2 linked regions of the Oryctolagus cuniculus genome follow. The protein of the gene in region 1 interacts with the protein of each later gene in a pairwise test. Links are inferred from orthologs where the notes say so. Each region holds a gene or a part of one and is shown on either strand. Other genes may lie near its edges.

Region 1 (7,446 bases):
TGGCTCGTGACTTTTGCCTTGCCCAGCCCCAGCTCTTAGGCCATTTGGGGAGTGAACCAGTAGATGGAAAATCTCTCTGTAACTCTTGACTTTCAAATAAATAAAACCTTTTAAAAGGGGGTGGAGGTGGGGGGTAGGGAAGAACAGTGACAGCATCTATAGGTTAAATGTGCTACTGAAGTTCTTGGAAAACCAAGAAGTGTTTATTGGATGGTTCCCCGGGGATGAGGATGATTAAAAAAAACATTTCCTTTCTTTGATGTAATGGAAAAGAGGATGGTATAGAGACTGTAATGTTGATGAGAAAATGAGAGTAAATGAGGCAATTTGTACATGATTAGAGTTTTTTAGACTATGGATATAAAAAGTGGAATTTCAAAGAACAACAGTTAGAAATAGTAAATGATAACATACTAAGTAGTTTGCATCTATAAAACAGGAATAATAATGGGACTTACTTTTTTTAGACTTCATGATTGCCTATTTGTCAAGCACATAGTAAGCGTAAGCATTTGATACTTGATAAATAAGGTTTAACTTGAGCCGGCGCCGGCACACCGGGTTCTAGTCCCGGTCAGGGCACCGGAATCTGTCCCGGTTGCCCCTCTTCCAGGCCAGCTCTCTGCTGTGGCCCAGGAGGGTAGTGGAGGATGGCCCAAGTGCTTGGGCCCTGCACCCGCATGGGAGACCAGGAGAAGCACCTGGCTCCTAGCTTCGGATCAGCGTGGTGCGCCGGCTGCAGCGCGCCAGCCACGGCGGCCATTGGAGGATGAACCAACGGCAAAGGAAGACCTTTCTCTCTGTATCTCTCACTATCCACTCTGCCTGTCAAAAAAAAATAATAATAATAAGGTTTAACTTGCAGTAATAATAAATAAAAGATGTTTTTCAGTATTGTACGGTTATAGAAAATGGTGCAATATCTTTCTTTTGTGTGTGTGTGTGTGTGTGTCATATAGTAGTAGTTTTAACTTTGGAGTTCTTGGTTCATTGGGTATGAGAGGACTGGTCTGACAAGTTGACCAATACAGTAAAAAAGAGGAGAAATTCTAAGTATTTAAAGGTATTGTTGCTGCTAGCATTGTGGTGTAGCAGGTAAAGCCACCACCTTCTAGTCCAGCATCCCACATAGACATCGTGTCCTGGCTGCTGCACTTCTCATCCAGCTTCCTGATAATGGAAAAGCAGCAGAGGATGACCCAAGTACTTGGGCCCCTGCCATCCACGTAGGAGACCCAGAAGCAGGTCAGGCTCCTGGTTTTGGCCTGGTGCAGCCCTGGCTGTTGCAACCATCTGGAGAGTGAACCATCAGATGGAAAATCTCTCTCTGTTTCTAACTCTGACTTTGAAATAAATAAATCTCTAAAAAAAAAAGTATTGAGATTGCAAGGTTTTTTGTTGTTGTTGTTGTTGTTGTTTAAGATTTATTTATTTGAGAAGCAGATTTACAGACAGAGGGAGAGACAGGTCTTCCATCTGCTTCTATCCCTAAATGGCTGCAACAGCTGGAGCTGAACCAGTCCAGAGCCAGAAGGTTCTTCTGCGTCTCCCATGTGTATGCAGGGATCCAAGCACTTGAGCCATTGTCCACTGCTCTCCCAGGCCATCAGCAGGGAGCTGGATTGGAAGCAGAGTATACAGGTCACGAACCAGTGTTCATATAGGATGCCAGCACCAACATGTTTTTTATATGGAAGGGAATATTCCCACTTAATTGGCAGTTAATTCATATGTCTGGGACTAAGTGAAATGTTTATAACTTAATATATCTGTTGGCTTCCTTTTACACATTTAGGCGATCAAGAAGCAGATCAAGGAGGCGATCACATTCTAAGTCAAGGAGTAGACGACGATCCAAAAGTCCAAGACGGAGAAGATCTCATTCCAGAGAGAGAGGTAGAAGGTCAAGGAGCACATCAAAAACCAGGTATAACAGACTCTTGACATTGGATAAGAAGAGAACTTTTAGAATTGCCAAGAACCCAAATACTGTGCTACTTAAATTACAAAAGAGGCAAGGAATTTTGGGAAGTTAAAACTAGACAAGAATTTCTTCCATTCCATTCAACTACTGCAAAGGATTTATTGCTGCCATGCATTTCTTGTATTATACTCAGAAGAAAAACTCTATATGACCATATGTAATATATTTGTCCTTGTATATCCCAGTAATCAATGAGTTCAAAGCATTTATTAAGTATCTTTGTTTGCCAGAAACTGAACCATACTAGAATATCTCTTATCCCATAATTTGGGACCAGTAGAAGGTTAAAATGAGGATTCATTAAAGCAGGTCCCCCACATTAATGTTTGATTTTTACTTAAAACATACTTCCAGTAACCAGTCTTTTATACAAAGTCAGTTGTTTTTAATTAGTATGACTACTGAATGTTCAGCCTATAATAGGCTTTTCGTTGTATATTAGTCAATCTCATTAGGCTAATCAAAACGAAGTTGCTTAAAGAAATGATTATCATAAAAAAAGAATTCAACATTCTTTCCCTTAAGAATATTCTGTTTATTGTTTATTTGGAGAGTGTGATAAAATTAAAAAGGAACCACTGTTAGGTGATGGTTGCCACTTGGCTAATGTTGTTGGAAGGGGCTTAATTGAGAAGTGACTCCTGAGTATTCAGTTTGCATCCATTTAAAAAGATTCTGTGGGGTGCATAGTTTCAGGTAGAGAATGGTGTTTGCAATGTTAGCATGAGTTTTTGAAATGGTGAATATTTCTATATAGGAGAACCAGTAAATAAATTCAGTGTAAGGAGACAGATCATAGAAAGGGTTGTTTTCAGACTGTGTTTGCACGTGATCCTGGAGGAAACTGGAATGGGAATAAACAGAGTATCTTGAAATTAGGCGATAAGTACTTGGAAAAACAGAAATGATCATTGAACAGGATGGCCAGTAGAGGAAGCAATGAAACAGAGAACATAGGGTGGGAAGAATGGCGTGAAGTAACAGAAGGAATACTTTGATCTCTAAAATTATGGAATAGGGAGCCGGCGCTATGGCACAGCAGGTTAAAGCCCTGGCCTGAAGCACTGGCGTCCCATATGGGTGCCGGTTCTAGTTCCTGCTGCTGCTCTTCTGATCCAACTCTCTGCTATGGCCTGGGATAGCGGTGGAAGATGGCCCATGGCCTTGGGCGAAAAAATGTTGTTTCAATAAAAACAAGTGTAAAGGAATCCAAAAAGAATTGAGTTGAGGATAATTTTAATACTAGTTCATTACAGTAGCACTGAATAGTCCAAGAGTATATAGCATCAAAACAAGGTGGAAGTGGGGCAGGCATTGTGCTTTAGCAGGTTAAGCCACCTCTTTTAATACCCACATCCTGTAATATCATGTGCCAATTTGAGTCCCAGATACTCTGCTTCCACTCCAGCATCGTGCCAGTGCACTGGGAAGGCAGCAGATTATGGCCAAGTATTTGGGTTCCTGTGATCCACGTGGGAAACCTGTATGAAATTCCCAGCTCTGGCCTCAACCTGTTTCAGCCCTATCTGTTGAAGGCATTTGGGGAGTGAACTAGATGATGGAAGAGATTTTTCTTTCTCATTTTGCCTTTCAAATAAATAAATTTATCTTTTTTGGGGGGTGATTATGTTTCTTGTTTTATGAAATACCTGTTTATTTCTTTTGAGCAGTTCTTTTTTTTTTTTTTTCCCAATGGGTCACCCCCCAGTGGACGCTCCAGCGGCGCGCAGCCGCCTGCGCACCGCGCTGCTCCGAAGCCAGGAGCCAGGAGCTTCTCCTGGTCTGCCATGCAGGTGCAGGGCCCAAGGACTTGGGCCATCCTCCACTGCCCTCCCTGGCCACAGCAGAGAGCTGGCCTGAAAGAGGGGCAACTGGGACAGAATCTGGCGCTCCCACCGGGACTATAACCTGGCGTGCCGGCGCCGCAGGCGGAGGATTAGCCTATTGGGCTAGGACAGCGGCCAAGGGTCTGTTTTGTTTTGTTTTGTTTTGTTTTTTAAGATTTATTTTTATTTATTTGAAAGACAGTTACAGAGAGAGGTAGAAACAGAGAGGTGTCTTCCATCCGCAGGTTCACTCCCCAGATGGGCGCAACCACCAGAGCTGTGCCGATCTGAAGCCAGGAGCCAGGAACTTCCTCCGGGTCTCCCACGTGCGTGCAGGGGCCCAAGGACTTGGGCCATCTTCTGCTGCTATCCCAGGCCACAGCAGAGAGCTGCATCAAAAGAGGAGCAGTCAGGACTCGAATTGGCACCCATGAGGGATGCCGCCACTTTAGGCGAGGGCGTTAACCCACTGTGCCACAGCGCCAGCCCCCAATAAATTGATCTTTAAAAAACTAACACAAAGATAGAATGGCTTCATCTGTGACAGAAGTTAACTTGGGCTGTATGTTTTACAAGAATATTGATGATGTGAGTGATTTTGGTAATACATTATGGGTTTTGGACTGATAGTGGAGGTGGTTAGAGAAAATGGTAAAGTCATCTGAGAAAATAAGAGACTGTTAAAGAGCCTCAAGACAATTATTAAAACTGTTGATGTTTAGCATCAAAACACAAAGAAATTAGGCAAAATCCTAGTTTCTTTCTCAAGACATACAGTATATTTGTACATTGGAAAGATGTCTTGAGTAAAACACCAGGAAAACGGAATTTTATTTATTTTATTTTTTTAAGATTTATTTATAGGCAGGCACTGCGACTTAATAGGCTAATCCTCCACCTGTGGCACCAGCACACCGGGTTCTAGTCCCGGTCAGGGCGCCAGGTTGTGTCCCGGTTGCCCCTCTTCCAGGCCAGCTCTCTGCTGTGGCCTGGGAGTGCAGTGGAGGATGGCCCAAGTCCTTGGGCCCTGCACCCACATGGGAGACCAGGAGAAGCACCTGGCTCCTATCTTCAGATCAGTGCGGTGCACCGGCCACAGCGGCCATTGCGGGGTGAACCAACAGAAAAAGGAAGACCTTTCTCTCTGTCTCTCTCTCTCACTGTCCACTCTGCCTGCCTGTCAATTAAAAAAAAATATTTATTTATTTCTTTGAAAGAGTTACACAGAAAGAGGAGAGGCAAAGAGAGGGAGAGGTCTTCCATTCACTGGTTCACTCCTCAGTTTGCCACAGTGGCCAGAGCTGTGTCGATATGGAGCCAGGAGCCTCCTCCATGTCTCCCACGTGTGTGCAGGGGCCCAAGGACTTGGGTCATCTTCTACTGCTTTCCCAGGCCACAGCAGAGAGCTGGATCAGAAGCGAAGCAGCCGGGTTGAACCGGTGCCAAAAGGAAATACAGGATTGTTTGGTGCAAAAAATTAAAGGATGGATGCCCTAGCAGTGAATACATTTCTTGTGATAAACATACCCTGTGTTGGAGTGCTTGGATTTATATCCTGGCTCCATTCCTGATTACAATTTCCTGATAATGCATACCCTGGGAGGTAGCTGTGATGGCTCAGGTAACTCTGGATTCACTTTCTGGCTCCAGGCCCAGCCCTGAATACATGCAAGCATTTGTTAAGTGAGCCAGCAGATTAAAGCTCGCTCGCTCTCTCTCTCTCTCTCTCTGCCTCTAAAATAAACAAAAAGCTGAATTCCATAGTTGTTTCATAATGCACATTTTCCATGAACTCTTAGAAGATCTGTCTGCATGGATTCACAGTTTTACACCAAAATAACTAAAACTTTAATTCAATTTTTTCATAACTTTTTGAACCCCACCTTTGCCACATGAACTAGTATCTCTAAAAATACTTTCTATCAGAATTGTAAATCATGCTTTTACAGGTGTTATTAGACATAATTTTGCTTTTGTTTTGATTTGTAGCACTATTTAAATTGCAGTTAACAGAACTTTGTAATGCCTTCTTGAATTGTGCTTGTTGATTTATTAGAGACAAAAAGAAAGAAGACAAAGAAAAAAAACGTTCCAAAACACCACCAAAAAGTTACAGTACAGCCAGACGTTCTAGAAGTGCAAGCAGGTAAGACAGAATTATGCATTCTTCACTTTTTGAAAAATGTTTTATTTCAGAATAATTTTAAATTTATAAAAATTGTGAAGTAATAATGTAAATGGTTCTGAAATATCCCTAACCAAACTTCCCTTATTATTTACTTTCCATATTAGCATGTTTGTCATAATTAATGAGCCCACACATACAGCTTCCCCTGTTTTGTTTTTATCTAAACTGCATCTATCCTTCTTAACCTTCCTAGCCAACATTCTCTGTTCAGGTTGAATTGAGTTTTTTGTTACTCAGTTTTAACTTTTAAGTATAAGGGAGAATATGTATGTCTTTTATGTCTGGCTAATTTTACTCACATGATGCCCTCCTGTTCATCCATCTACTTACAAAAAAATCACAATTTCACTATTTTTATGGCTAAATTATATTCCATTATATGTACTACTTTTTTTTATCCATTCATGTGATGACAGACACCTTGGTTAATTCCATAAATTGACTTGTGATGAATGAATGATGAATTAGGCATTTCTTTGATGCACTGATTTATATCTTTTGGATATATACCCTGTAATGCTAGATCATATGAGAGTTTTAAGGTTATTTATTTTATCTGAAAAGCAGAGTTAGAGATTTTCCATCTGCTGGTTGACTCCCCAAATGGCCACATCAGCTGAAGCTGGGCCAGATCGAAGCCTGGAGCCAGGAGCTTAATCTGGGTCTCCAATGTGGGTGCAAGGGCCCAAACACTTGGGCCATATTCACTGCTTTCCCTGGCCATCAGCAGGGAGCAGGATTGGAAGTGGAGCATCCAGGAATTGATCTGGTGCCCATATGGGATGCAGGCGGCAGCTTAACCTGCTATACCATGGCACCGGCCCCTAAAGAAATACCGTTAATAGATGACTGAACCAATTTACATTCCCACTAACAGTGAATGAGAGTTCCTGTTTCAGGCTGGCATCGTGATTTAATGGGTAAAGCTGCCACCTGCAATGCCAGCATCCCACATGGTCATTGCCTCATGTCCCAGCTGCTCCACTTCTGATCCTGCTCCAGGCTAAAGGCCTGGGAAAAAGTAGCAGAAAATGTCCTCAGTGTTTGAGCCCCTATCACCCACATGGGAAACCCTTATGAAGCTCCTGCTTTGGTGTAGCACTGCCCTGGCCATTGTGGCCATCTGGGGAGTGAACTAGCTGATGCAAGATATCTGTCTCTATCTTTCTGATTTTCAAATAAATAATAAAATTTTTTTAAGAATTCTTCTTTCTCCACATCCTCACCAGCAGGGGTGAGATGGTACCTCATCATGATTTAGATTTGCATTTCCCTGATGACAAGTGATATTGAGCCTATTTCTTCTATTTGTTGGCTATTTATATTTCTTTCGGCAACTGTTCAGGTCCTTTTCTCATTTCTTGGCTGGATTGGTGGTTTTGTTGTACAGTTTGTGAGTTCCTGGTATATTCTGGACATTAACCTTTTGTCAGATAAGTAGCACAAAA
Region 2 (7,937 bases), on another chromosome or scaffold:
GCTGAAATTTGGCAGCTCGGTTACCTTCAACACGTATCAGTATGGTAGCCGTGGCGAGTCCTAGCCCGTCCTGCCAACTACCTATGAAATACCAGAGTGCTCTCCTCTCTAGGAAGAACCAGCCAAGTTGCTTTTGCTACTCCTCCAAGAGCAGGGTGGAGAGGATGGAGGCTCCGAAAGAAGCATCTGTTGTGCCATAAATAGATGTGTAGAATAACAGGCAACTGTGGGTGTGCACACAACCTGTAGATGGGGCGATCACAAGTGTGCACTCAGCTAATGTTACAGTCCTCATCCTGCTGCTGGAAGTCAGAAGAGCCTGGGCTGTAGGACGAGACAAGTCTGGGTTTAGGACTGGACTCTACTGTTTGCTAGCTATGTAACTCTGGGCAAATCATTCAACCACTCTGAGACTCAGTTTCCAGCTCTGCAAAAATTGGCAACAATTCTTCCTTTCTCCTAAGTTTGTTTCTCCGATGAACTGGGATTATATCTATCAAGGGTTTGGCACACATGGTGCCTAGAACATAGAATATAGTAACATATATTTGATGAGAACCTAGTGTTATTACACCAGACAGCAATGAACATATTTGTCTTGTAGAATCTCTGGAACTAGGCAACCAGGGCAGGAGGATCCCTGGCTCACCCCTGGTATTCTAGGGACATTCGCAGAAATGCATGTCTGTGTTCCAGAAGAAGAACAAACAATAAAGAGCGGTGTGGGGTTCAAATTAGATGCGAGGTAGAACTTTCAAAGAGTGACGACTGGTAAGTCCTGAGTAGTGCAGTCATTTTTTTCCTCCCTAAGTATTTATATGAGGAGATACAGAATCTTATGATTTGAATTGGGTTAGCATGATCCTGTTGTTGGTCTCATTATCATATTTTCCATTGTCTCCATAATTACTTGAATCTTTCACAATTCACTGGACGTTTAGAAATGGGTGCAGACTGCCAAGTTTCCTGGTGTCCCCTGATGCTGGTGGATAATGATTATCCCCATTGCACTCAGAGATGTCCTAGACACGGACAGATGAAGGGATTTACCCAAAGTGACCCAGTGCTGTTAGTGAGGTGAGATTTGAACTGCCCCAGGAGGAGGAGCAGCTATTTTTCTGATCGGGGGGAAGAATGCCTAGGAATCCCATTAGTTCCTGCTTTGGAGTGTTTCGATTTGCAAATCTTGGAATCGCTTCTCCTAGACTCCTGCTTTTTAAATGAGAGAAGGATACCAACCTGGTGAGGAAGTTCCCTCTGAGTGTGGTTGGCAAAATGACTTCATCTGGGAGGCCAGTTCCCACCCATCAGTCATGGGTCTCTTGAGAAGGATTCTGAGGCTAGGTCCTAAAGAGTTCTGTGATGGATTAGTGATGTCTTCCACTGGCCGAGTACAGAGGAAAGCAGCATTTGTGCCATGTGTGTATAGTCACCAGCCGGCATGTTGATAGGTCTCAGGTTATGCAGTGGGCCGGCTTGCACCTGATAAAATGAGAGAATTATCCTGAATGAGTGAGACACGAGATGGTTATATTTTCATCAAGAAATAGAGGAGATGGAAGTTGAAGCTGCATTGGAGAAGCCAGACCTAAAATTGAAGTCACTGATAAGGTAGAAAGGGGACAAAAGGTAAAGATGAAAGACCAGAAAATGAGTCAGACTTGAGCTCCTTTGGGAGGGAGCCCTGTCCGTTTACCTCTGGACTCTGTCTCTAGCTCTGAGACTGACCAAGATCCTGGACATCTGGGAATGATTACTGAACTGAATTCTAGCAGGTGATGATTCCAACAGCAGCAGCCGTCACAGCTGCCGTTGAGTGGGTGCTTGGTATGAACCAGAAACAGTACAGAGTATTACCAGTAATGTTGCATTTAATCATCACAGAAGCCGCAGGAAATGTGTACTCATGTCTCCATTTTTCAGATGGGAAAACTGAGGCAGGGGTTAGTTACCAGGCCAAGATCACCCAGCTAACAAGGGCTGAGCATCCTACCCGAATTGTGTCTGACTCCAGGGGCCACGCTCTTAACTCAACTGATGATAGGTATTCCTTAGTAAACTGTGTTCTACAGCCTCACTCCTTCCACCCTCGCAGCTAGTCCATTTAAACACAGGGTATTATTTTTTATAGCAGCTTCACGTTGCTGATAAAGAGACTGAGGCATAGACGAGTCTCTCCTCTGGAATCACACAGCTAGGAAATGGCAGAGCTGGAATCTGAACCAAGAAGCCTGACTTCCAGCCCTGAGCTTAATCCTGGAGACTCCCCACTGAGAAGTCCCAACATTGTGTGCTTCTAAGTGTGTGCTCATTGGCATCTGAGAGTTTTCACACAGCCTCACCCTGGGATAAGCCTAATGTCCCAAAGATTCCCACTCCCGAGCAAAAACAGAAACTACTTTTTCACAAACTTCCTTTGTTCCCTGCAGAATCACCTTAGACAAGTCCCTTCAACTTCCTCATCCATTTTTTTAAAAAAGATTTATTTTATTTATTTGAAAGGCAGAGTGACATAGAGAGACAGAACGGGAGGGAGAGACAAAGCCATTTTCCACCCACTGGTTCACTCCCCAAATGGACACAGCAGCCAGAAGCCAAGAGTTTGGAATGTAGTCCAAATTATAATCCAAATCCCCCACGTGCCTGGCAGGGGTCCAAGTACCTGAACCATCTTCTACTACTTTCCTGGGCACAGTAGCAGGGGGCTGGACCAGAAGTGGAGCACTCTGGGACTCAAACCTGAACTTCCATGGGATGTCAGCGGTGGGCAGCTAAAACCTGCTGTGCCACAGTGCTGGCCCGACTTGCTCTTTTTAAAAGAAGCAGCTTACTTGGCTGCTGTGGGATTCAAAAGGAGAATTGTGCAAATGGAAACTTTGTCAAGATTCTTGCAATTAGGCTTGGAGATGCTGATTGATCTTGTCAGGCAAGATCCCACCTACTGCAAGTGACTCAGTACATACCCTAAACATCAGGTAATAACTAAGGATAGTTTAAAATATCCCAGGTCTCAACTGCATTTAAGCGATATCAGCTTCAGAGTGGGAAACAGGTCCTGAGTGAGGGAATTTATTTATTTATTTAGCAAGGGCTCCGGGTTGAGGGAGGTGGGGAAGAAGGGACGGTTATGGCGCGCCTAGATGCCTCCAAGAATCCCAGCCCTGACTGACCCTACCTCTCCAACAGAGAAGCCAACAAATGCATCTCTAGTTGTTGGCCAGAAGGGGTCAGTGCAGAGCGGCGCGCTCAGGGACTCCACAAACCCTGAACACAGAGGAACCCAAACGCACGCATGCTCTTCCAGACCAGCGCTAAGAATCGCCAGGTTTCTTCATCTTCCTCCTCGCCCCCCCCCCCCCCCCCGCCTCTTGCTCTTGCTCTTACTTGGCATCTATTTTCCTCTTCTCTTCCAAAGGATTGCAAAAGTTACCACTGGTGCCCCGGCAGGAAGCATGGGTTTTATTCACTGCTGTGGCTAGAACCAGGTTCCAGGGGCTTGGGCGCCTCTGAGACTCAGCGAGACCTCCTTCCCAGAGTTTACAGCCTGGCGGGTGGGAGGAAGGAACAACTCGGCTGAGATCCAAAGGCTCAAGGGAAAGATGAGCTGAGGGGGTCCTGGAAAGATCTCCTTGTCTTCAGGAGACCCCTAAGGAAAACGAAGAAAAAATTCTGCGCCGATCCTCTGTGGCTGGGGCTTATCCAGATCCTAGATCTCCGCTCGCTGGGCCCAGGTTCCAGCCAGGAGCGGGTGGAAGATGGGGAGGAACGACGGGAAAGTAACTGTCTCCCCACCATTGCCAAGGCTTCCCCTAAACGCTTTCTTTTCCATAACGTGCTTCTTTCGCCAGACCCACCCCCGCCCCCCAACCATGCTTAAGAAAGTAGCAGCCGCCGAATTCCCCAGGAGCGCCCCCTCCCCCGAGGGTGGGAGGGGCACCGTCCCCTTTGGAGGGAGTTGTCAGCAGGGACTCTGGACAGGCTCACTGCGAGGCACAAAAGAGACAGCCTTGACCGCGCCGCAGGCACAGATGTAGCGCCGCGCCCCTCTGCGGGCGGGGTCCCCACTCGGCAGATGGCGAGGAGCCGAGTCGCCGAGGGATTGTCCATCAAATGGCACTTTCTGGGTGGCGGGGACCTCGCGGCCCAGGCGCAGAGAGCACAGGGCTCTCCCTCCCCCTTTGCTGGCCTGGGCGGTGCCTCCTAGAAGCGTGGGGTGGGGTTGGGCCGGCAGGAGCGGGTAGGTTTAAGTTTTTTTACTTTCCCCTTCTTGGGTGGAGGATCCGCTCCAGGACTTGGGGAGGGGCTGGGAAGGGAGGTGGCTGGCGCCGAGCGCACGCCAGGATGGGGGTTAGAGGAGGAGGCCCGCGGTGATGGAGGAGGAGGGAGGGCTGAGAAGCGAAACCTGCTGCCTGGTTCGGGTCGCTGTGCCGGGATTGCTGCTCCGTGGGGTCAGCGCTGCAACTCTGTGGCCGCGGGGCCCTGGTGACAGGCGCACGCCCCGCCCTTTCTCCTCCCAAGACCTACGGGCTTTTGTTATGCAGATGGCGGCAGGAGGCTGAGCCAGAAGAGGAGGGGGTTGGCGGAGAGGAGGAGAGGGGGGAGGAAAGTGCAGCTCGCGCGACCAGCCTCCTGGTCCAACGTCACATTGTGCGAGAGACAAAACCCGGGCGCGCCGGAGCTCACACGCGCACGCACACACAGTCGACCCGGCCGCCTCTGCTCTCCCGGTGCTGCCTAGAGAGCCAGGCTTCCCGTCCCTTCCTGGGGCGCGCGGAGGCTCGCCAGCCCGGAGCAGCAGCCCGGCGCCAAGGCGGAGGGCGAGAAAAGCCGGCAGACGAACCTTTCTTCCCCACCGCCTGCCCAGGCTGGGCGTCCCATCCCCCGCCCTGAACTCCCAGCTCTCCCACCCCACCACTCTGGGTTTCAGGAGCACACCAAGCCGGGAGCCGGGCGTGCCCGCGTGGGGAATCCACGTTTCAGCACTTCGGACAGCGCCTGGGTGCCCCGGCCTGCTTGGGGTTGGTTATGGCGAGCGTTCAGCAAGGCGAAAAGCAGCTTTTTGAGAAGTTCTGGCGAGGAACCTTCAAAGCGGTGGCCACCCCGCGTCCCGAGAGCATCATTGTCGCCAGTATCACGGCCCGCAAGCCACTGCCAAGGTAATGACCTCCTTCTTAACATGGGGGGGGACCCTGAAGGTCCCCCTTTCTTTCTGGTCTCTGGCCTGAGCCCTGGGGGCCCTGAGGGTGGAGGCAGGCAGCTGGGCCAGGATGCCTGTCTTTTCATCACTATTGGGTATCCCCGCTGGAACACGGGAACTCATTGCTTGCGTGAGACGGAAGCTGGCGCGTCTCTGAGGGGAGCAACACTCAGTGGACCCATAGTCCCTATGCAAGGCGTTTGGCGTCTTACCGTGAGCAGTGCAGGTGGGGGTAGGACTTGACTGAGAAACTTTTCTTGCTATCACCGAGCTCAGCGGACCCCAGGGCAAAGGAGCGGCAGACCTGAGGTGGTGGTGGGGTGTTGTAAAGATGTGAAAAACAAGGACTGAATCCGTTCAGGCAGTGTTCAGACATAGCAGCACATTTCCATCCTTAGCTCAGAAACTAGCGAGCTCCGAATGTTTCGTCAAAAAGCCCATATGCTGTTCCCTCAAATACACCCCAAACAGCACCCTCCTCCACGCCTCTCTGGCTGCTGCTGAATTCTCTCCTCTCCAGCTTCCAAAACCAGGACTCTGAGCTCCAGAGTCAAGGAGGAGCCTTCCAAGATCGTGAAGATGATCCTGGGAGAGTTTTATTTGGTTTCTCAAAAAGAATCTATTTGCACTGAGCTTAGGGGTGAGAACGAATCCTTGGGTGGTGGCAAAAAAGGTGTGATGGAGGGGGAAACAGGCAGAAATGGAAGCAAGGCAGAAAGGGAGGAGGAGATGCAGAGTAGAAGAGAGAGAAGTTTGGGGGAGACAGAGGCATTCCAAGCCAGAAAAAAACTCAATGCTTTTCCTACATCATTCAATTTAGAGGAGTTTGGGGGTGGAAGGAAGAAGGCTGTGCCCTGTGTCAGGGAAAAATCAAGGCAGGACGAGAACTTGTCTTTTGCTGGTGTTGGTTGGACAAGCAGTTCAATGGAAGATAAAGAAGCAGTCCAGGATGGGAGAGGGGGCTGCTTGGAAAATGTATTATTCCTGGCAGGCTGCACTGGGGAGTATATTGCACACGTGTCTGGGGAAGTGCTTTGGACAGAATGCCTGTTCTGGGCACAACTAAATCTGAACTTTCTAGTAGGTGTAGGTTGGGAGACTGATGTGGAATTATGTCTGAAGGATCAAACCCACACTGGAGAACTTTTCCCAGGGCAATGGGGATGCTCACAGAGGTCTTTGGGAAAAATGGGTGTCCCATTTCAGGAAGGGGTGGGCAAGAAACACAGAGTATGGCAGGCTGCAGGCAGCAGCCAGTATTTATGGGTGGGAGGAAGGGGGCCCCCACTGAAACAGGCTTGAGGGGGGGGGCAGTAGCACCACATGCCATTAAAAGCAAGCGGATGCTTCTCTGCATGGAGGGAGGTTCTCTGTAGAGCGTTTTGACGTCAGCGGTTTTCTCCTCCTGGGTTCCTGCCATCCGTTCCACCTTTGGAGTGCACCGACTATTGGCAAATCAGGGGCTGCGATGGCCAAAGAAAATGCCCTTGGCGAAGGGACTAGGGGAAATTTCATTGGAAACTAGAAGCGTGGCATTTGATTCAGAGTCGTCCATCTATTTCAAGGTTCAGGGAGAGACGAGCAGACTCCCGGTGGTGTGCGAATTCAGAGAAGCGTGCCTCATGTCCACCCTCTCCCTTTGTTCATCTACTGCTGTCATTCCCTTTCCTTGGTGGTAGTCTCAACCCTGTGTATTGTCCACAAGATCTCCCAGCCCTTGTCCTTTGTGCTAATTCTGATTGAGTCTATGACTTTTCCAATAGCCACCTGCCTCTGCCCCTCCCCTGGTATCTTCACTTGGTGTCTTTTCAAGTCCTAGATCCCCTTGGAAACCATCCCTGAAATAAAAGTCTGAGCCCGTAAGTCCCCAATTTATATCATGCTGGAAGGATGCTGTTGGACACTTCTGTAACAGGCGTGGCCTCTCTGTAGAACACATTCCAGTTTTATAGCTGTTACTCCTGCCTCGGAGTAGAGAGTGAACAGGAAACATTTTCATCCAGGTCCTCCAAAAGAAAGAAAGTGGGGGTGGGTGGGAAGACTGTGTTTGAGTTGTCTTTTAACAAACTAGCTATGAAACCTGAATCATCTCCATTGTCGCCTCAGTCAGCCACATCCAGAGATGGCCAATTTCCACTTCCTTTGCAATGTTCTATACTTATTTCGGGATGAAAAGCACCGTGTTTCCACAGCAGAGTTCTTAGGAGGAATAAAGGACACAGGCACTGACACAGCGTCAGCAGAGCCCCCGTGGCTTCCTCTAGAGGCAATCCGGGGAGCTGGTCTCTTCTGAAATGTTGTTGAGTGAGTCAAGCCCAGCCCGAGGAGCTGTCTGCAGGAAGATGGGGGAGGGGAGGCGGTCCACCAGCCAGTTCTGTTGGTTACACACTTAATATCTGTTTGCAGGTGAGAGCTATCCCCCCCAACCCCGTACTGAACTTCCTCAGGATATTTTAAGTCTACCTCTAAAGATAATTCAGTACCGGGATAGAAGCCTACATTCAATTTGTTGATTTCATAGCAGTATGTATACATCATACAACTGTACTACAAGCAAAATCTGTCACCCTGAAGTCCCACTCCCTCATCTTCTCCCTCACCCCACCATGATGCCTCCTTGACAAGGCAGTAGCTTGATTATAAGATGGCAAGCACGGGTCTGACTCAGCTGTCAGAGTAGTATAGCAGAGTGGGAGACAGTATATTGTGGTGGTTAGGAGATCAGACTGGAGCATGAGAC

The links.
Region 2: the proteins of SRSF11 (region 1) and SRRM4 interact in binary tests that used the Homo sapiens proteins (3 or more experiments, as listed by UniProt). The link is inferred for Oryctolagus cuniculus from reciprocal best matches to the Homo sapiens genes SRSF11 and SRRM4.

Annotation. Positions count from the first base shown.
Region 1 is NC_091438.1:102,136,903-102,144,348, reverse strand, and holds part of SRSF11 (serine/arginine-rich splicing factor 11), read left to right. Parts: intron 1-1,795; coding exon 1,796-1,927; intron 1,928-5,866; coding exon 5,867-5,956; intron 5,957-7,446. UniProt on the Homo sapiens protein: May function in pre-mRNA splicing.
Region 2 is NC_091452.1:15,121,441-15,129,377, forward strand, and holds the start of SRRM4 (serine/arginine repetitive matrix protein 4), read left to right. Parts: upstream 1-3,896; 5' UTR 3,897-5,025; coding exon 5,026-5,156; intron 5,157-7,937. UniProt on the Homo sapiens protein: Splicing factor specifically required for neural cell differentiation.